Linked DNA regions of Nothobranchius furzeri. The protein of the gene in region 2 purifies or fractionates together with the protein of the main gene of each other region. This does not show direct contact. Links are inferred from orthologs where the notes say so. Each region holds a gene or a part of one and is shown on either strand. Other genes may lie near its edges.

Region 1 (6,936 bases), on a different chromosome or scaffold from region 2:
CAATCCTGCTTTATATCTTCTACATCTATAGTCACTGATGAAGGTGCTACCATCTACAAATAGAAACTAACAAATAAAACAATAAAACAAGCAACACTGGTATTTGCTGGAATCCCCTACACAAGGACCCTGGCAGTTACCTGTAAGTCCAGTAATTGTCTCCTTAAAGCTTCTACTTCTGTATCTTTGGACTTCTGTCGGGCCTGCAGAGCAGACACCTGAGCCATCGCCACATCAGACACCTCCTGCAGCCTGTTAAAATAAACACACACACACACACACACACACACACACACACACACACACACACACACACACACACACACTTACACTATACATTTCTCTAAAGACGATCGTTAAAGTTTTTATTTGTAAAATCCACAACAACAGGAACAGATCATTCATGTTTCTAAAATATTGATGTTACTCCCTGCCCATGAAAAACGGTTGAATTTCAGTCATCATTCCTGTGAAAACATTCTTGTCTCTATAATCCATCACCAGGGTTGTGTTTGAAGATAGCGGAGTATCGGGACAGCGTGAAACGTACTTGGAGACTTCGAAGCGGAGCTCGGCCTCCGCCTTCTCCAGCTCTGAGATCCTGGCTCGATCTGCATCGCTCACAGCTTTGCTGACGCTGTCTGCCAACTCATCTCTTAGCTCCCGCTCGGTCTTCTGGGCCTCCGCATTCATCTTTGTGAGCTGAAGGAAAACAAAACCACAAAACTATTTGGTAAAAGAAAATATTAATAGATGAGAGGAGATCAAGCAGCCAAGGGTCAGCAATTATAAAGCGAACTGGTCTTTCCACACAGGCTGTGTGTGAGGTGAAACCCCGTTCTGCACCTGGAAATGTAAGATAGCACTGTCTGTATGTTTTCAGATGGACCAAAGCTCACTGTGATGCTGATGCCCACGCCTTTAGAGCCTGACAGAAGAAAACAAATCCTCCGTGATTTCTTTGGCGTCTTACTTCTGCAAACTTGGACTCCAGCTCGGCGTTGCGCTCCTCCACCTGTCTGAGGGAGTTCCTCGTGTGCTCGTACATTTTCTGGGCATGCTCGGCTCTCTGTCTCTCATTCAGCTCCTTCATCTCTGAGGTAGTGATTTGTCTTGCTGCAGATAGCATCTCGTTGTTGATGGACGCCTTGTCTGACTTGGCCATGCCAGGTTCCACACCTAACCAAAAATAAAACATCGTGTTCAGGGTGGAATCCACCAAACCAGGTCTGTGGCTGTGTCCATGTCAGACCTAGAGGTCTAAATGGAACTACTCTGACTCAGATGTGAGAGCTCTAGAGTAGCGCTGATGGCACCATTTGGTCGGAGCACAATGAAACATCATCCCAGTCAGAACAATGCTAGCCACAATACCATGAAGCTAAGGCTGTGATACTCATCTACTGCAACATGCTCAGGAGCGGGGTCTGACACCGTACAGATGTAAACAAACCTCTGTCCCACTTGAAGCCTGAGCCCCAGGCGGTGTCTCGTAGCATCACTAAAGCCCTGAAAATCTGCTGATTATAACAGTGATGGCATCAAATTATCCCTGTAAACAACTTTCTCTGAGCAATCCTGATTGCTGAATGTCTCGATTGTACTCGTTTCATGACACGTTTCTATAATCAAGGTAAACAAAACACCACACGCTGCTTGTTTACCAGCCGGGCCAGCGCTCTCCCACGCTTGCTCTAACGTGTTCAGTTTCTCCTTCGTGATCTCCAGTTCTTTAATCATGGAGGAGATTTGTTCTCGAAGGGAGTCGTTTTCACCCTAAAAGATGGAGCAAGTCCGTCAGCTACCAAACATAAGCTAACAGACATATTGAGTGAGTAACGGAGATACTTGGGTATTATATTAATACCTGTAAATGTTCGAGGTTGGTGGTTCTCTGTATGAGACAGCTGTCTCTCTGGAGCATGTCTCTGTATTTGACTGTTAGCTCGGTGTACTGCTTATTAGCCTTCTCCAGCTCTGACGCAGGGACGCTGTCATCCAAGGCCTTCTGCAGAGCAGACATCTTGTAAGCAGCCATTTCCTGTAGAAAACACAAGACATGAGGATAAAGTAGACCTGATGAGGGTTGAAATGTGTCTTTCTGAGGACACTGTACTCATATTTGTGATGGGACTAATTTCCAGTAAACAGATGAGGATAGAAGGGATGTTACATGTTTAAATACGTGGTTGGTATTTCAACTATCTGTCCTGGTAACTTTGACTTATTCAGCTAAAAAATAGTCAAAACCAATGAAGCTGATAAAAAAGACCTGGAGATGGACAAGAAAAACAAGGACTGGTACAAATACAGGCCCCATCAAAAGTATTAGACTACTTGAAAATCGGCCAAAAATCACATTTTGCAAGGTTGGATCTTAACAAGGTCCCACGTAGAGTTGAGACAGGAAGAAATACGAGTGAGGCAAAACATTTTCTGAGCAGCGATTTATTAAAAACAACACTTAAACTGAAACTGGTCGTTGTTTTATAGTTGATCAAAAGTTTAAGACCACAGCTCCCAAAAACACCCGTAACTCCTCCAAAACACTAACATCAAAGCTCCAAACAGCAGCTCCACCGTCGTCGTCAATCACTTCACAAATTTTTTGCACACGCTTGATGCAGTGGTTTCCATACGGGGAGTGGGAAACATTTCTCCAAGTGGTGAAGACGACTGCACGGAGGGCCTCTACTGTCAGGAACTGGTGTCCATTTTTGTAAATGTCCCTTGCCATTCATCCCCAATAAGCATTACAACAGCCTGTTTCAGTTTAAGCCTTGTTTACAAAACATAATGCTCAGAACATCTTCTGTCTCACTCCCATTTCTTCTCGTTACAAGTTGAAGCTCCACCTTGTTAGGATCCAACTATGCAAAATATGAGTTTTGGCCATTTTCAAGTGGTCTTAAGACTTTTGATCGAGACTGAAAGAATGCTCAGCGAGATGAGGAAAACAAACTCAAACCTTCACCCATGAACAATCTCTTCTTATCTGCATCTCATCTTTAGGTTACAGCCGAGTTAAAACTGACAAAGGTCGTGTTGACTGTAGTGTCCATTTACTCTCCCTGCGTTGTTTCTTTTACTTCTACTGGTGCTTTATTGCACTTAACAAATCAAAAGAAATAAAGAGAAGACTTCTGTTTTATGGCATTTACCATTGGGACAAAAGAACGGATCCAGATTTGATAAACGTCATCATATCTACATCTACAACGAATTAACTTTTGAATGGCCTCCGCAGCTACACCTTAGTGTCAATGGAAAAGATAAACAAGACTAAACTGAGTGGATTAGGTCCTGATCTCAAACTGGCACGTTAGTTGACTCTTACACAACACAAGCCCTGAGCTGTAACAGATCATGAGAGATTTCTGCAACATTAAATGAGACGAGAGTTGACGGGAACTTAGACACGAGAGGTGGAAAGTGATACGCACTTCTGCCTGGAATGTTCTAAAACTGTTCCTGGGCAGAGTGGGCGGACGCTGTGTTTGTTGGAAAGTTAAAGATCCAACACAAGTTGTGAAAAGTTTGGCTGGTTAAAATGTTTATTTGTGTAACGAACTGCTGGACCTGATGAACCAACCTTCGTGTCTAGTATTTTGTACTCTTATCGGCTGTGTCTGTGGATTTTGCTGCTGCAGGGATGAATGTTTTCTCCAGTCTTGATAAAAAGCAGACAGACATTAGCAGTTTTTGATAGAGAGGTTTATCTCTGTGTGTTCATTAGAGCACAATCTTGAAAGTGTGCAGAGCTCCTGCAGAGAGCAGACGGACTTGGGCGTCTGATGATAGCACATCTGCCCAACATTCCTGTGTCGTTCTCTGCGTCTGTAGAGCATTTACACACACCCTCCCGTACTACGACGGATGATGAATTCAGCACCTTTCACTGATAAATGTCTTCTTCCTCGTTGATGGTATGTGAAATTCATCCTAAACAGCTAAAGTTTGGACTCCTGTGACATACGTCTGATTGTCTTTCTGCGCATCTGGGATGAACCTGTGACCAAAGAAGTCAGCGGCAGGTTTGATGAATGGCTTCCTCCTTGTATGAGAAAGTTTCAGCAGCAGCAGACGGTGTTGAGTGACCGAGTTGTTTTGGTTATCCTGAACATATACAGCAGCACCTCTCTTTCTCACCCAGGATTCATGACCCGCCTGGTCTTTAAGGCTCTGAGATCCCCCTGACCTCCAGATTATCACACAGTCATTTATTCCTGGTGTTAAAACACTAAACTTATCTACAGATAGCTGAGAATGCCTTCAATTTGTTTTATGGTTGACTGTTATCTGGTGAAGTTTAGAACAAAGTGATTTGTCACAAACTACTCTTACATGGGAATGACGTGTTTTATTTCTGTGGATGCTCCTTTTACGGCTAACCGGTTAATCTCACAGTTTTTGCATCTCTCCTATAATCTTTTCTGTCTTGTTGGCATTATATAAAATATATAAAAACATTTCCTGTTATGTTTGTGCAAATACATGTTATTGAACAAAATAAAGTCTTTTAACTTTTCTGAAAGAGGTTCAACCTGTATTTGGACCCGTGGAAACTCAGCTAGAGGACTAATCATTAAAACCATAAAACGACACTAGAGCAGCGGTGGCCATCCTTCTAAAACAGATAATTAACTGACGTATTGGTAGAAATGAGAGTTTCTGCTTTATTGGATTTAAATATGGAGACAACCGTCTTCATGGTGCCTATCAGGTTTAGTGTGGACCTGCCCAGGTCCAACTGTAGTGTGGCTCAGTGGTTTGAGTCTCATGATCGACAGCTTTAAGCTTGGTTTATGCTTGACGCATTCACTTTCCGCTTGGTGATGCGGATGGAACGTGCTTCACAACTCGCAGCGTTTATGGTTCATGCGGCTTGTCTCTGCGGTAAGCCAATATTCTCCCAAACTGTAGGGGGCGGCATGGAGCTCTACACGCATGCATCCAACACTTCACCATAGTAGAAGTAAAAATTACTGTTGTTTACAACATGGCATTTCAGCATTTTTAACAGCGTCCTCGTCTTTTCCGACAGTGCGAGCTATTTCTCTCCAAGAATTATTAAAAACATGTTGATCACGGTGATCTTTGAGAGCTGAATCATACAAATGTCTGTATTTATGAACCTCTGCCATACTAGTTCTTGTCGGTCCACCATGTTTTTCTACGTCCGACCGTCCGCGTGGGTAGAAAATTTCCTAGGTGTGCAGTGCGGAAACTTTGGGCCTTGCGGAGGTGCGGTGGAGGGGCGTGGTTGTTAAAATGACGCAATTTTGCCGTGCGGACCTTGCGGATGCGTCAACCATGAACGGAAGTTACGGTGTAACTATGGTTCTGTGAGTTCCTGGATGACTGCCAGTAGCAGTAAACAGAGTGGACGTATCTCCTCGCGCTCTGCGCAGGTCGAGCACTAATGTAAACCAAGTCACGCACGTGACACGTAGCGCACCTGGTCGCGAGTCTATAAATTACGCGCCGATAGCTACGTTCAGGTCTCCCGGGATCTTCTCGCCCGAGAAGTTCCGAGTGACCCCTGTGACTGGCAGCCATCCAGGAACTCACAGAACCATAGTTACACCGTAACTTCCGTTCTGTTTCGTTCCCTCCTGACTCCCAGTGGCAGTAAACAGAGTGGATGACTCATGCCAGCAGTGTCACGAGGAACATAAAACTCACCTTCACTCAGGAGGTAGCCGCCAGAGGCAGCACAGCTGAAGCGAGTGTGGACCCGTGGCCAACGTTGAGGCGGTAGAAGCGTGCAAACGTGCACGGAGTTGCCCAGGACGCCGCAGCACAGACGTACGACAGTGGCACACCTCTCATCGCCGCCCAGGATGTAGCAACACTCCTGGTGGAATGGCACACGATCCCAGGGGGAGCCACTGCACCCACTGCCACATAAGCCATTGCAATGGCATCCACGACCCAATGCGACAGCCTCTGCTTCGAAAGGGCCCGACCCCTGTTCACTCCTCCGTGACTAACAGCTGGTTCGACTGCCGGACAGTGTTTGTGGCCACAATATAGAGCTGCAGTGCCCGGACCGGGCACAGCAAATTCGTCCGCCGTTGTTCCTCCGAATGAAATGGGGGAGGGAAATACGCCCCCAGCTCGATTGCGGCATTCACGTAGCCAGAGGGCAGAACTTTGGGAAGAAAGGCAACGTTGGGCCACAGCATCTCCCCCGACCCATCTGCCTTCACCGCAGGCAGGCGGGGCTGATGTCCAGTGAGTGCAGCTCACTGACCCGTTTAGCCGACGTCACTTCCAAGAGAAAGGCGGTTTTCACAGACACCACTGCCAACGGGGAGGTAGTCATCGGCTCAAAGGGCAGCCCACACAGGGCCTGCAGGACCAGGGGAAGGTCCCAAGCAGGTGCCGGCCTGCACAAGGCAGGACGCAACCTTCTCACGCCCCGCAGAAACTGGGTCACCAAACAGTGAGCCCCAATGCTCCTGCCATCCACCAAGAGGTGGTTGGCCGAAATAGCCGCCAGGTGTACCTAAAGGGTTAAGGCGGCCCGGCCCTTGTCAAACAGGTGCCGGAGGTATCACAGAACCTCATGCAGGGAACAAGAACCAGGGTCCACGTCCCTGCCGGAACACCAGGTAGAGAACCGCTGCCAACAGCGAGCGTACATGGCCCTTGTAGACGGAACCCTGGCGCTATCCAGCACCTGCTGGATGGAGGGCTCTAAGCCGACTGGGGGCTGCCTGCTCCCTTCAATGGCCACACCGTGAGCCGAAGATGATCTGGGGACGGATGCCAAATCCTCCCCTCCATCTGAGACAGGAGGTCCCGTCTAGCCGGCAACCGCCACGGCTCCCCGTTCAGCAGACTGAGAAGCAAAGGAAACCAGACCCTCATGGGCCAGTCTGGCGCCACCAGAAGGACCTCGTGTGACGAGTCCCTCACCCGATGGAGGGT
Region 2 (6,936 bases):
TTCTCACATCTTCCTTTCATTTTTCACACATTTTTTTCTAATGAAAATATTTTTTAAGTCTGAAAGATCCACGGATGAAAGTTTACAGCATTTCTCCTTCAAATCAGAGAAAAGTCAAAAATAAAATCCGGATAAGCTGATTTAAAATCCACCTGAGCTCCAGCTGCTGGTTACGTCTCAGATTGTGGAGATTAACCAGAAATTATTCACACTAATAAGGAAACCAGACTGCGTTAGGAGGTTTCCTCTGCACTATCTGGACCAACAGCATCTAATAAAACACAGAAGAAGAGAGAGAGTCACCTCCTGAGGTTTGGTGGTCGAACACGGAGCAGCAGTCCTGCAGCAGCCGTCGAGGAGCTTCAGGTACGGTCGGCATGACGATGACCCTGGGCAAGCTGGGGATGGTCAGGCCCCGGGGGATGCTGGGAAAGCTGGGGAGAGTGGGCAGACTGGGCATGGTGATTCCTCGGGGAAGGCTGGGGGGGTTGATGCTTCGGGGCAGAGAACTGACCAGGGCCGGCATGGTCACCCCCCGCGGCATGCTGGGAAATCTGGGGAGAGTCCCCGGCATCACTGGGATGAGTCTTGGAACAGGTGGAGGAGGAAGGGAAATCCTCCCTGTTGTCTTCTTCTTAACCTGCGAGACACACAGCTGCTGTGATGCTCTCCTGAAACCTGAAGCTTCTGCTTAGTTTCTCTCTTTAAAAATTCAAATAACTTTATTGTTCTAATGAAACCAAACTAAGAACAACCTGCTTGTAAGAAGCTGCTCCGATCCTGGTGGGAAAAGCTTCTGTAAAGTGTTGAAAGTCCACGAAGCTCCTACCTGCTGCAGCTGCTTCCCTCCAACAGCTGTTTATGTAACATCAGCTGAGCTCCAATCAATAATCAGCGTGATCGATCTGCTGCTCCACATAAAGCTCCACAAGCATCCGGCTGCAGCAGCTGGTTCCTGACTCACATGAAAGTTTAAAAACCTCTGCACCTCCTCCTGATGCTCCTCCTCCTCCTCATCATCATCAGGCTGCTGCTATGTGCAGGAGCTCCCTCTGCTGATGTACGAAGAGCACTTCAACTGCATCATCCAACAGGGTCATCTGGATCAGTTTGTCTCCTTAGGACAAATCACGGGGGGGGGGGGGGGGGGGGGTCTATACAGCATACCACAGATTATTAAACTGGTCTAGATTACAGATCCTTAGGTTTTACATCCAGTCCCATCGTTTTACGCCATAAAAAGGTTTTAGGTATTTTCTGAGAAGTTATATAACAGCTGTTTGTTCCTTTGTGTTTTCTAACCTGAAGCCTATGAAAGATGTTGTGTCGCTTCAGACCTCTCCGGCCTGTAATCCTGTTGCAGGAGGAGGATCTGAGACATCCTGGTTCTCATGTGATCATTGATAAATAAACAGCCGTTTCTGACAAACCTTTTATTGTCAGAATGTGATCCATTCTTGTGGACTGTGTTATTTCACCCTGAGTGTGGATTGACAGGTACAGTGCCTTGTTTGTATACTTATAAATGAATGAGGCACTCTCTGATTTTTCAGTTCTGGTCCATCTGGGTCCCTTGAGACAGATTTGGTGAGTGCCCCTGTTGGTAAAGGTGGAGCTTTATAAAAAAAGTTCTGGTTTTGATTTCAGTCCCTTCGGATCAGGTTTCAGGTTAAAGCTGGACTCAATCCACCTCAGAGAGTTTACTGTCCTTTGCTGGACCTACTATAAACAATCCTCCAAGCTCCGCCTCTAGCTCCTGCAGGTGGGCGTGGCAAGACCCTACACCAGCATCCAGCTCTCCCAGCATCCTCCACCAGGGCAGCCGGCTCGCCTGCAGCACTGCGTTCTGGGCGTCGCGCGCTTGAGCGGCAATGGAAGCTGACGGGCTCAGAAAGGAGTTAGCCTGCACCTCCGTGACAACAGAAAGGGGCGGGGCATCTGCAAGGAGCAATACAGACTGATCAACAGCTGGATCCAGATGTGCAGCCTCCACACCACTAGAGGGCCCATGGAGCTGCACCCACAGATGAAATGTTCTCTACAGGTTTGATTGTTGAGTTTTCGTGTTTGAGTGTCAGCACGACCTAAATAAAAACAGAAGAAGATGATATGGGCGTGTTACCTCGGAGCAGCTCCAACTGTGTGTGCGTACACGCCAGGACAGCTGCCACCCGCTGCTCCTCTCTTCTGTAATAATCTCCTCTTTGCAGCTCCGCCTGCAGGAGCAGCTGCACCTCCTGATGGAGGGAAACACACTCCTCAGGAGACACACGAGATGACTACACACACACACACACACACACACACACACACACACACACACACACACACACACATACACGGAGTCAAAATCACCGGACATGACAATTAAATGTTTGATTATATCTCTCAGATTTTAGTTTATAAGCATCAGCATCTTCTCACCCGGTGAACAGAAATGTAATTGTCCACCTGCTGCTGTAGCTCCGCCCTCCGGCTGTCTGTCAAACCTTCCTGACCAATCCAGAGAGGGACAAGGAATGGGACCTTTGCTGGTGCACGTTTTCCTAAAAAACGTCGCACCTGAAGGGGTAAAAAGGAGAGAGGAGTGACTCAAACAGATTTCACTAGGAGCTCCTGAATTAAGACCTGTCTTTGTGTGTGTGTGTGTGTGTGTGTGTGTGTGTGTGTGTGTGTGTAATTACAGCTCTCTGCAGCGTCCTAGCAGCCTGCTCTTGTATGTCTTTCTGCCTCAGAGCGTGTCTCAGTGTGTTCTTGTAGCGTCTCCTCTCCCTGAAGCCTCTCCAGAAGCTCTGGATCACAATGGCGGCTCGACGCTTACACTCTTCCAGGTATGGCTGCACCTGCTCTGAAAACACACACACACACACACATGTTTACAGAGGGATTAAAATATGAGTGTTTCTGATATAGGATAATCTGCATTTTAAATAATCTCATGTAAAACAAACTTAACTTTAATTTGAATGAATTTAGTCACCAGATCCAAACCCTATTTTGTGTAATCCTACTGTGTGTTTCTTCTGATTTCATTATTAGGAACCACACCTGCAGTCTTCTTCAGAGCTAGCCACAGCGGCTAGCTCTGAAGAAGACTGCAGGTGTGGTCGAAACTGTCAGCCAAAAGGTAAAACATCCTTTCCTGTGTTAAAAAAAGAACATAATTATGCTGCTCAGAACCAGTCCTGGAAACGGCTCTGATACATTTCTTAGTACTAAACATGTTTCTAACTACTAGGATCATCAAAATCCAGTTATATAAAAAGTTTGTGTCACAGGGAAAACCAAACAACAACAGTAAATAAAACCTAGAGAGGTCCTCCTGTAGTTGAGAGAAACAGACCAGGTTTATTTACCAGGAGGCAGCAGCTGCAGCAGTTGTAACTGTCTCTGGTGGAAGCTCCTCCTGGCCTGTTGTCGCCTCACACACACCTACAACATCAACCAGACTGTGAGGAGGCTCACAAGACAAATGCTCAGCTGTTACATGGTGGATCTGACTTAAACTTAAAGTATCTCCAACAGTCATCTTCTTATCAGGGAAGAATAACACTTCTGTGTTAAAAACTAAAACTTCTACCTGATACTTAAGTTCCTCCTTCTGCCGCTGCGCCTCCTGCTGCTCCTGCTCATGCCTCTTTCGAGACCTAACACACACATGCACGCACACACACACACACACACACACACACACACACACACACACACACACACACACACACACACACACACACACACACACACACACACACACACACTTTAGTGGATTTATTTCCAGAAACTTCAAACAAAGTGCTCTCTGCATCAACCCACCAGTCAGGCAGGTGAAAAGTGTGTGGAAAAGTTATTTTATTTGCACCAGTAAACTATTCAACTGACAAGTCTTCCAGCTTCTTCTACAACACACTGTTGAATAAAAAATACTTGGTTTCTTGGATATAACAAGCCTAAATGAACAAAAAACAAAGAAACCCAAACAACACCACATAACCACTAGCTGGAGTAAACACCTGGACCACAGGTGAATTCAGATTTTAATGATTAAGAACTACCGGTTATATTCCTGCTAGTTGGTGTAATCATGTCTGATTAATCTGATCTGCTCCAGATGGTTCTGGTGTTTCAGTTTCTGTATCTCCTCCAAAACAGGAAGTTGTTACCTGTATCTCCTCTGAAACAGGAAGTCGTTAACTGTATCTCCTCTAAACAGGAAGTTGTTACCTGTTTCTCCTCTAAAACAGGAAGTCGTACCTGTACATCCTCTAAACAGGAAGTTGTTACCTGTACATCCTCTAAACAGGAAGTTGTTACCTGTATCCCCTCTAAAACAGGAAGTCGTACCTGTATATAATCTAAAACCGGAAGTTGTTACCTGTATCTTCTCCAAACAGGAAGTTGTTACCTGTATATCCTCTACAACAGGAAGTTGTTACCTGTATCTTCTCCAATTAGGAAGTTGTTACCTGTATATCCTCTACAACAGGAAGTTGTTACCTGTATCTTCTCCAAACAGGAAGTTGTACCTGTATCTCCTCTGCAGCATGCTCACAGCTCTGTTGAGGTTCTTCACTCTGCGTCGGGTCTGATATGACCTCCAGGTTGCCTGGATCACACTCGCGGCTCGCACACGCTCAGTGCTCTCCTTTAGACAGAAAGTGTTTGCTGCCTGAGTCTGATTGTCTCTTCCACCTTTTCCTTTAGTGACTCTAACAGAACGGTTCTATGTTACAGCTGCAGTGGTTTCATTCTGTCAACAAAAGTTCATTATATAAAACGTTATTATAAAAGTTCAAAGTATTTTATTTTGATGCACCAGAAATAGAAGAGGAGTTTCTGTTCTTTCAATATGATTTTTGTAAAAATGTCTAATTATGTATTCAACCACATCTTGAACAAAATGTAATATTCTCCAGCTGTAAAGCCTTTACAACTGGAGAACTGAGGGCAATGAAGGGATTTTCTATTTTATTTTCTATTCTAATACAGCAAACAAAAGAACGTGTTCTAAAAGATAAATAGGACTCTCAAACTATAGAAATCACAAAAATCTTTTTAAAATGGCACAATAAGAAAAGCTTACACTGAAACATTTTCTAAATGAAACCCCAATATTTCTTTAAAATCTTCACACTACAAATGAATCATTAAAGTTGCTAAGAATGTAGACATTTTTATTATATAAATGAATTATTAAAGTGCCAACAAACCTCCAACTGGTTAGTCACAGGCTTTTCTGATTGGATGATTGCTACCAGCTGATCAACATCCTGGTCAAAGCCCCGCCCCCTCCAATCTTTCTCCAGTAGTCTGTCCAGACCTACAGAGACAGAACTCATGTGACCACACAGGCCCAATCTCACTGCTCGCACTGCGCCCTACGGTCTTCAGCAAGTGCGCAGTAAGGCTTCGAGTGTGTAGTACACAAGTGTGCAAACAGTTGAGTCATCGACCGCACCGCAAGCTGGTCACTGTTTCTGCTACTTAAAAAAAATCTTTATTAACAACTTTGAAACAAACATCGTTCCGCCTTCTTATAAATGATAAATGAGCCGCACTTGTATAGCGCCTTTTCAGAGTCAGAGGACTCCAAAGCACTTTGCACTACAGTGCATCATTCATCCATTCACACACGGATGGTGATGAGCTACGATGTAGCCACAGCTGCCCTGGGGCGCACCAACAAAGGCGAGGCTGCCGAGAGTAGGCACCGACGGTCCCTCCGACCACCACGAGCAGGTAAGGAGGGTTAAGTGTCTTGCCCAAGGACACAACAGCAGATTTCTCTGTCCAGAGCTGGGTTCGAACCTGCAACCTTCCGATTACTGGACAACCCACTCAACCTCCTGAGCTACTGCTGTCATAAAAATTCCCATGCAGCAATGGAATGTGGGTAATATCCTTCATCCAAATCCGCATCAACTTGGGCGAAGTGTGCAAAAGGGGGCGTGGCCAATTTCCATACTTGGGGATCTGGACACCTCGGAGCCCCTGGCTGGAGCGCAAAATTGAAGGGTGCAAGGTTGGAAGTGCGAGTATTGGGATAGGGCCTCATTGTCACCCACTGAAAGTCTACATGTTTGACCTCTGACCTTTAAAGTTCAGCTTGAGGGACGGGAGGCGGAGCTCCAACCCTCTGGCCATTAGAAGGATGAGTCTGATGGAGGCTCCACCCACCGCAGCATCTGAGCTGTGAGCTAGTTGGCAGACGGCCTCTTCGAGCAGCAGGAGGATGGCATCATCACTCAGATCAGACAGGAATTTGCTGCAGACGAACAAATAACAGGTCAGATTCTACTTTATTTTAAAACTCTGTTCAAAATGTTTTGCTGTGAGCTGAAAACGTTTCGTCATCGAGTCGGTTCGATAAGCAAAAACTTACATTGTGTGTGTGAGAGTGTATGCATGTGTGTGTACCTGCTCACTGTGCAAGTTTGAATCCACATCTGAATGCAGAGCAAAGACACCGTGATGTCATCACACAGCTGGATCTGCTCATATTGGGTGGAGCTAAAGACTGATGTGAGAAAGAGAAAACCTTAGTTTAAAGGGACTTTACGGACTTTTGAATTTTTATGCTTGCGATTGCCCCCTCAGGCCAAAAGCATAACAGCAGCTTCAATAGTAGGCTCGTGCACGAGGTGCACATGCTGTACGTGCACACTCCTTAATGAAAATAACAGCTGAGACAGTCCCGTGTGTGTGTGTGTGTGTGTGTGTGTGTGTGTGTGTGTGTGTGTGTGTGTGTGTGTGTGTGTGTGTGTGTGTGTGTGTGTGTGTGTGTGTGTGTGTGTGTGTGTGTGTGTGTGTGTGGTGTGTGTGTGTGTGTGTGTGTGTGTGTGTGTGGCCCGGAGGACAGAGGACAGGAGAACGTGCAGCTAATTAATTAAATAATTTGGTTCTGTAGCTTTCTCTTCAGCACAGCCGACAAAGGTTTAT
Region 3 (7,483 bases), on a different chromosome or scaffold from region 2:
ACTGACACAGAGACAGAGAGCAGAGTGGGATGATTCAAAGTGAGCAACAAGGAAAGTCGTGAGCGGGAGGGACACAGCTGCTAGGAAAATAACACAGGAAGCCCAGGAAGAGAGCGTCAGCTAAAAAGGAAGCTCACAAGGAGAAAAAAGAGCCAGGAGACCATAGGTCTTCATTGTTCAAGCTGATCAAAAGCTGAGTCTGATTTCTGTCCCCGTAGCTTCATAGTGCTTATTCTCTGATGTATATAAACAGAAAAAAAGCCACGTCAAACCAGATATCTGATATTTTGTGTAGCTTTGTTGTTTCTGTGTAACAAAGCTGATAAAAATGACATAAGGTCATGTGACCAGCCACAGCCAGTCATGCTACAGCAGCATTTAACATGTTGTTGCTTTTAAGTTAAGGTACAGAAAATCCACATGAAAGAAATTGTCCAGCCTGAGTAGGAACACGGTTGTAAAGGACAAGACTGAGCACTCACCTGGTGAACAAACACATTGTTAAGGTGATTGGTGAGGCGGCGAGCAAACGTGTCTCTCAGCTCAGCAAACAGAAGCTGCTGCTGCCTCACAGCCATCAGCTTTTCATGACCTGAAGGAAGTAACGTACACTTTCATTTGATTGAACACTAAAAAAAAACTACAAAGTCAATTTATTTCTGCAGAAGTTACTCAATACCTGGCCGCAGAGCCACGCTCATGCACTGCAGCAGAGCTTCAGAAGCATTGATGCAGGCCTCTATCCCTTTAGGGGAGGTGAGGTCTCCTTCCTGCAGAGCCCTGATGTGCCCCTTTGACAAATCCATGTAGTTCTACAGGAGGAGAGAGGAACCAGAGTCATCTAACAACACACTGTGACTCAGTGTCACACACACACAACTGTGTGTTATAGCGCCTCACCACTAAGAACTGGATCTCATCCAGCAGTTTGTTATTGTTGGTGTTGCTGATCTGGATGAGACGGTTGCTCTGGGAGATCTGATCCATCTGATCCTTGACGCTCTGGAGCATCTCCTCGTAGCTGCTCAGCTTTCCCTCAATGGTGTCCACCTCTGTCAGAGCTTCATCCAGCAGCTGCATCAGGATATTGACCTGCTTCTCTGATGCCATGATGGACTGGATGTTGGCCTTTAGGAAGACACAGATCCAGAGATGCCTTTTTGGTTAACTCATTAACTGCTATTGACGACTAAAGTCATCATTTTAAATCCAACCGCTCGCTGCCATCAACAACTAAAGTCATCAATTGCATTTTATTACTGGGCAGGTGTGGGAACAAGCCCCCACACCGTGAGAACAAACATCCCGGCTCCAAAGCTGATCTTCAGCCGCTCATGTCACACACCACCTGATCAGAAAATCCATGTATTAGGAGACCGTTTTGGGCCGCCGCTGTGATAAAGGTGAGGTGGGAACCGGAGAAGCATCTGCCATGACGACGGATTATGAAAGAACAGATAACTCTAGAAACACGCGGATCCGTCCTGATGTGGGAAGTGAGTCTACCCTTTGTTTTGGTGATCTTGGAGTTGATTTCATCATTGAGCACAACGTTCTGTGACTCTTCAAAAAACCGTTAAAACGCTCAAAACCACTGGCAGCGAGAGGCTTTTCTGATCCGGAAACTGCTGGCAGTTAATACGTTAATGATTTGGGTTTTCTGAGAAACTAGCAAAAAAAAAAAAAAAGAGAGCGTCAGTGACTGCTTCGCTCACCCCGTCTAAAACTTGCAGCTCCTTGAAGAGCTTCTCTGCAAAAGCTTCGGCGTTAGAGATCGCGTACTCGCACGTCTCCATCATGCTCTCAATGTCCTGCTCCTCACGAGTGCTGAGCTCTTGGTAGTCATCCAGGGCATCCTCGTCGCCTCCGGCAACACTCTGGCTCTCACCGCTCGGCACCGACTCTAAGTCCATGAAAATAAGTGAAATTAGGAATACAGATGATAATACCAGAAGCACTGCCATTGTTGTCAGATTATTTTTTATTATTTCTTTGATTTAAATAAATAGAATCAAAGGTATTTAGAGTTTAAAGAAATGCTACTAAAGGCCGTAAAATCTCATTTATTACCGACATCTGATGATAATGTAGCAGGGATATGAACACAAAATGAAAACCAATCTCAGGCAGTGGCATGAGGTCAAAAAGCACATACATGAGCTAAATTTTATTTAGTGTTTATTATTAGACTATGACTATTTTAATACATAACATGTAGAAGAGGTGAGCATAAACTATGTGTACAGTGCACTAATGCCACAAAAAAATTAAGTCATGACTTAATGTGGAATAGATAGAATAGCTGAACAACCTAAGTTTGTGTTACAGTTGATGTTATAATTATCATTAGTATTATTATGTCCTCCATGTTTAATTACATGATTTAAATCACAGGAAATGCAGGAAAACTAGAATCTTTGATGAAAATGGTGGCTTGGGGTCATGAACAGTATAATGAAGAGGTAGGAGGAGGGATCAAGCGGAAAGTTTATTCCTACCAACCTTCAGCTTTAGGAAGCTCTGGCCACAGAAAGATCAAGAGAAAAAGAGTGAGAATAAAAAAAGAACTTAACAAAGAAAACTACTGACACAAACCAACATACAAAGAAGAGGCTTTCAGTTTTAAAAACATGCTACCTGTAAATAAAATCTACCAAATTATGGAGGTATACACATTACACATGCAAAAGGTTGTAGAGTTGTAGAGCTTGAGGGGAAAAGATGCATCTTTAAAGAATTACAATTAAGTTATAGTAAGGAGCATGCAGACTCTGAGCTGGCTGAAGTTTTAGCATTTACCCACCTTCAAGGAGCTGAGAGTTGACGTTGACAAACTCCAACTTCTTCCTTAGATAACGCTGGTTCAGCTTCCAGATACAGGAAATGAAGGAGTTTTTTTCAGCTGTGCTGCTAGCCAACCATCGGTAAACCTTCTCAAAATGAAGATCAAACTCTGGGTTTTCCTACAACGTAAACAGAGCATGCATCAGTCCTAACTGCAGAGTGCTGAACCAATAGGGGACGCCATGACAGACCGTGTGACCTCTAACCTTGCTTGCATCTTTGGCATCTACTACTGTCAGGTCTCGGAGCTCCCAGGTCTGCTGTCTCTTATAAAAGTCCCCCTTGTCAGATTTCTTCACCTTAACCACTTTAACCTGGACTGGCCTCTCTGTGGTAACTGGAAAAAAAGTCCTTTTATCATGAATGTTCTTTACAGGAGCTTCCGCAGCTTTCACACACATACCTGTAGCACACAAGAAGCAGTTTTTCTTTTTCTTTCCCGCCTTGCAGACATTAACTATGCCGAGAAGACGCTCGTCGTTGGGTGTGAAGATGTCCCTCTGGAGAGCGTGCTTTATGGCTGTCATGGTGGATCGTACTGTCATACAGAACAGAACAAGTCATGAATCTGATCAACGCAAGACGTATCTAGTGTTCGGTTCGTGATTTCCAGTTAACAATAAAACACATATTCAGAGTAGGAACTCAGAATGAAGTGGGGAGGGGGGGGGGGGCGGATGAGTGATTCAAACACCACCAACATTACAGAGAGCGAGGCCCTTCAGAGAACACAAGAACCAAACTTCAAAAATATCAGACGTTTCACGGAAAAACATTTAGAGATTCAGCAAAAAATCCCTAAAAGTTATATCAAGTCTTGATTTTTTTCCTTTGCTATCGAAAAATTCTTTAGTCGTTTATTTAACCCAATTTGACAGTTTTTAGCAGCACAGGAAAAGGTTACTGACTGGTGCTTTTGCAGACTGCACTGTTTACTGTTTAACGTATACATAAAGCCGGAGATTGAATCTGAGAGACTATCGTAGTAAATGTTTCTATTAAGCAATAACAAGCTACCAAACCCCGAATTAAAGGGTTCTGAAGCAACTTAGGTCGTGTATGTGGTACAGAATCAGCACTAGTTCCTATAAAAACGTTGTCCTCTCTCCGGTTAGATATTAGTCCTAGGCTAGCATTGCTAAGCTATCGACGATCAGCAAAAACTGCCCAACGTGCATTGTAGCTACATTCACAAATGACTCTACATTGCGTGTTTAGATATCGTAATCAAAATATTCTATAAATATTGAAAATAGTATAGATTTTACGTAGCATTTACCTTATTTTCATCCGCTGCAGCCCTTCAAAGCACCGCCCTCTCACTTCCTGCTTCTCGGCCACAGCTGTCATGTGACAACCCAAAGGCCACGCCCACTGGAAATACTAAACCCATTTTAATGATAGTTTTTTTTAAAAGTTATTGGTCATTTTCAGTAATGTGCGAAATTCTTGGAACGAATTTAACTTATTTAAAGCAGTAACTGAACAACGTGTAAGAGCCAACCCTGAACTGAATCTATTGCTGCTAGGAGCCAGGTCAGTGCTTCTGTGCACTACTACACCTTTACAGTTACAAGTTACTTCTGACACCTTAACATGGGCCTCTGTTTACATTTAGATTAATTTGACTCAATAATTTACTTGATATTTTAGATATATTATTACCATGTTTACTTTTATACTTTCACATTATGCGCCTGAATGCGTGTATGTGTGTGTGTGTGTGTGTGTGTGTGCGTGCGTACGTGCGTGCGTGCGTGTGTTAGATGATGTTGCCCCTTTAAAAAAGAAGGTAATTAGGGATAGGCGGTTGGCTCCCTGGTTTGATTTTCATTTACGAACTTTAAAACAAAACTCTAGAAAATTGGAGAGAACACGGTGCTCTACACACCAGGAGGAGTCCTACTTATCCTGGAAAAATAGTCTTGTGCTTTATAAAAATAAGCTTCGACAAGCTAGAACTGCTTATTTTTCAGCGCTAATTGAGGAGAATAAGAATAATCCAAAATTTATTTTCAGTACAGTTGCCAAACTTACACAAAATCATAACTCTGAACCATCGATTCACTCAGCAGTAACAACTTTATGGAATTTTTCACAAGTAAAATTAATTCCATTAGAAACAAAATCTTTAGCATCCTCCCTAATGTGATTTCTTCTTCCTCAGTAAGTGAGGCAGCATCAGAGGTAACTGTAGAACCTCATCTGTGTTTGAACCGTTTTGATCCAGTTGAGCTTTCAGAGTTATCAAAAATATTAGCTTCATCTAACTTCAACTTGCAATTTAGATCCAATCCCAACCAAATTATTTAAAAATGCAATTCCTTTGGTTACTGCCCCCTTTCTAGGTATAATCAGTCTATCCTTAGTAAATGGGTATGTACCACAGGATTTTAAGGTTGCTGTAATCTAACCTTCACTTAAGAAGCCTTCTCTGGATCCAGATGACCCAATGAATTATAGACCAATATCTAACCTTCCATTTTTATCCAAAGTCCTGGAGAAAATAGTGGCCATCCAAGTATGTGAGCATTTAAACACCAATGCTCTGTTTGAGGAATTTCAGTCTGGTTTTAGAGAGTATCACAGCACTGAAACTGTATTAGTGAAAGTTACAAATGATATTCTCATGGCCCCAGATAAGAATCTCAATCAATCAATCAATCAATCAATCAATCAATCAATCAATCAATCAATACTTTATTAATCCCAGAGGGAAATTAGAGTTTCAGTACACACAATTCAGAGATCAGACATACATGGGCAAGACACATGACAAGAATTGGTAACTGTGGTCATTCGCAACCCGAGTTGGGCTACCTTAATAGAGATAAGAGGGTTACATGAGAGTTGGATCAGGTGGAGACTCCAATAGGAAGGCGGGGGGGGGGGGGGCTGGGATCCTGATTCCCCCAGCGGAAGCAGCCATCCACGGCGGTCATCTGCTGTACAGTCACAGGTGGGAGGGAGATCTTGGGAGAAGCGAAGAGCACATTGTCTCCAGCAGATTGATGACCTTGCCAGGTTGAAGTCCACCAATCCAAAGGCGGGGTGGGGGGTGGGGGTGGGTGTCGGGTTTTTACAGCATCTGTCTGCATTCCTTCGTGGGGGTTTGTTGCTTGCCGCTCAAGTAGGGATGGGTACCTTTGACATTTGAATCGATCCGGTACTAATTACCGGTACCTACGAATCGATACCGGTACTTAACGGTACCAATTTTCGATACTTTTGACTGTTTATTATTTTAATTCTCTTTTATAATTAAATATATTTTTTCTCAATATATAACAATATTTGATAAATATCACAATAAATAACATACAACTGTTTGTATTTTAACATCGTCCTTGTAGTTTTATAAGCTGATAATTAAACTGAAGCAAACATCTTTACTGTGAACTAAATTTACTGTGTATCTTTATTCCTTTTGCCGTCTTTTTTCATTTGATTTTTCCTACTGGGAAGTTAGAATTTCCGAGGAGAAAGCGAACGCACCATTAGCTGATAACAATGGTAGCAATGGAAGCTAAGATATCAAGCTAACAATATCTTAAACAGTTTATTTAGCTGCTGAAGCAGATTAAAACGATGATGCCTCACACTTAGATCGTCGCTGGTTTCGTCTTCACCCGTCACATTTAGTAACCTGAAGCCAAACTTTAGAGCGCGTTCATGTTGTTCTAGTCGGGAATTCAGAGTTTCGAGGAGAAAGCAAACGCACCATTAGCGAAACGGAAGCTAACATATCAAGCTAATTATATTTACCTACCGGAGCAGATTAAGATGAGGATGTCTCACTTAGATCATTGTTGCTGGTTTCATCATCACCCAGTTACCCATCACATTTAGTGAAGTGGACCCAAGCTTTAGCGTGTGTTCTTTCTACCCATGCTGCTCTGTTTACAACTGGTTCACAGCGAGCGACGTTAAAACGCTCTTGCTCATGCGCAGCTGTCTTGGCAAGTTCTCGTTATGATGGACGGGTACCGAAACGAGGCACCGTTTGAAATGACGTGAATCGGTGCTCGGTAGGTACTATGGAATTCGGTCGGTACCTTGAAAAGTACAGAATTCGGTACCCATCCCTATGCTCAAGGCTACCAGGGCGTCATATTCAGATAACATGACTTTGTTTGGGTCAGGCTGAGATTATTTTCCTCTCTGCCTTCAGTCTTTAAACTGATCATTCCAGTCCTTCAGTGAAGCCCATTTTGGGTTTTTAAACCTGTCCATACCGTCCGGTGACCCTCCGAGATGATATCCATTTTGCGCACTAATACCGGTATTGCGGCTAGAACATTGTCCAGCTTACGATTCACCTTGAGTAATGTCCCAGTCTGAGAAGTCTCCACACGAACGGTGCTTTCCGTGGGTGCGGGTCGCCCTCCAATCGCTCTCGTCTTCCCAAATTTCCAGAAAACCACATATCCTCCCACTCCAGTCAGGAGAAATCCAGTGATCATCAGGCCGAATATCCACACGTCTTCGATATCCTCAATGGACAGCTGGCTGAGGCATATGATCTTCCATTCCTTCCAGGAATCCAGCTTATATCCCACTGGGTGTGTCCCCTGTGGACAGGTGGGAGCCCGCTGTTCCGTTCTCATTGTTGAAAAAATCTTATCAATCGCATTGAATG

Evidence for each region.
Region 1: the proteins of IQ calmodulin-binding motif-containing protein 1 (region 2) and cep290 purify together in Homo sapiens (co-immunoprecipitation; 8 studies listed by BioGRID and IntAct, counting the BioPlex papers as one, with this or other methods). This does not show direct contact. The link is inferred for Nothobranchius furzeri from reciprocal best matches to the Homo sapiens genes IQCB1 and CEP290.
Region 3: the proteins of IQ calmodulin-binding motif-containing protein 1 (region 2) and exoc1 purify together in Homo sapiens (affinity purification with mass spectrometry; 3 studies listed by BioGRID and IntAct, counting the BioPlex papers as one, with this or other methods). This does not show direct contact. The link is inferred for Nothobranchius furzeri from reciprocal best matches to the Homo sapiens genes IQCB1 and EXOC1.

Annotation. Positions count from the first base shown.
Region 1 is NC_091744.1:50,573,771-50,580,706, reverse strand, and holds part of cep290 (centrosomal protein of 290 kDa), read right to left. Parts: intron 2,042-6,936; coding exon 1,868-2,041; intron 1,777-1,867; coding exon 1,665-1,776; intron 1,180-1,664; coding exon 974-1,179; intron 703-973; coding exon 551-702; intron 253-550; coding exon 141-252; intron 1-140. UniProt on the Homo sapiens protein: Involved in early and late steps in cilia formation. Its association with CCP110 is required for inhibition of primary cilia formation by CCP110.
Region 2 is NC_091743.1:82,552,003-82,558,938, forward strand, and holds the end of IQ calmodulin-binding motif-containing protein 1, read right to left. Parts: intron 6,515-6,936; coding exon 6,415-6,514; intron 6,263-6,414; coding exon 6,090-6,262; intron 5,318-6,089; coding exon 5,208-5,317; intron 4,643-5,207; coding exon 4,524-4,642; intron 3,648-4,523; coding exon 3,581-3,647; intron 3,433-3,580; coding exon 3,357-3,432; intron 2,849-3,356; coding exon 2,685-2,848; intron 2,563-2,684; coding exon 2,425-2,562; intron 2,280-2,424; coding exon 2,123-2,279; intron 1,939-2,122; coding exon 1,682-1,938; 3' UTR 1,419-1,681; downstream 1-1,418. Other genes in the region: protein EFR3 homolog B, read right to left, coding at 304-574. UniProt on the Homo sapiens protein: Involved in ciliogenesis. The function in an early step in cilia formation depends on its association with CEP290/NPHP6.
Region 3 is NC_091748.1:40,498,156-40,505,638, reverse strand, and holds the start of exoc1 (exocyst complex component 1), read right to left. Parts: upstream 4,217-7,483; 5' UTR 4,124-4,216; intron 3,383-4,123; 5' UTR 3,372-3,382; coding exon 3,248-3,371; intron 3,182-3,247; coding exon 3,051-3,181; intron 2,964-3,050; coding exon 2,804-2,963; intron 2,521-2,803; coding exon 2,503-2,520; intron 1,904-2,502; coding exon 1,716-1,903; intron 1,129-1,715; coding exon 901-1,128; intron 813-900; coding exon 680-812; intron 593-679; coding exon 483-592; intron 1-482.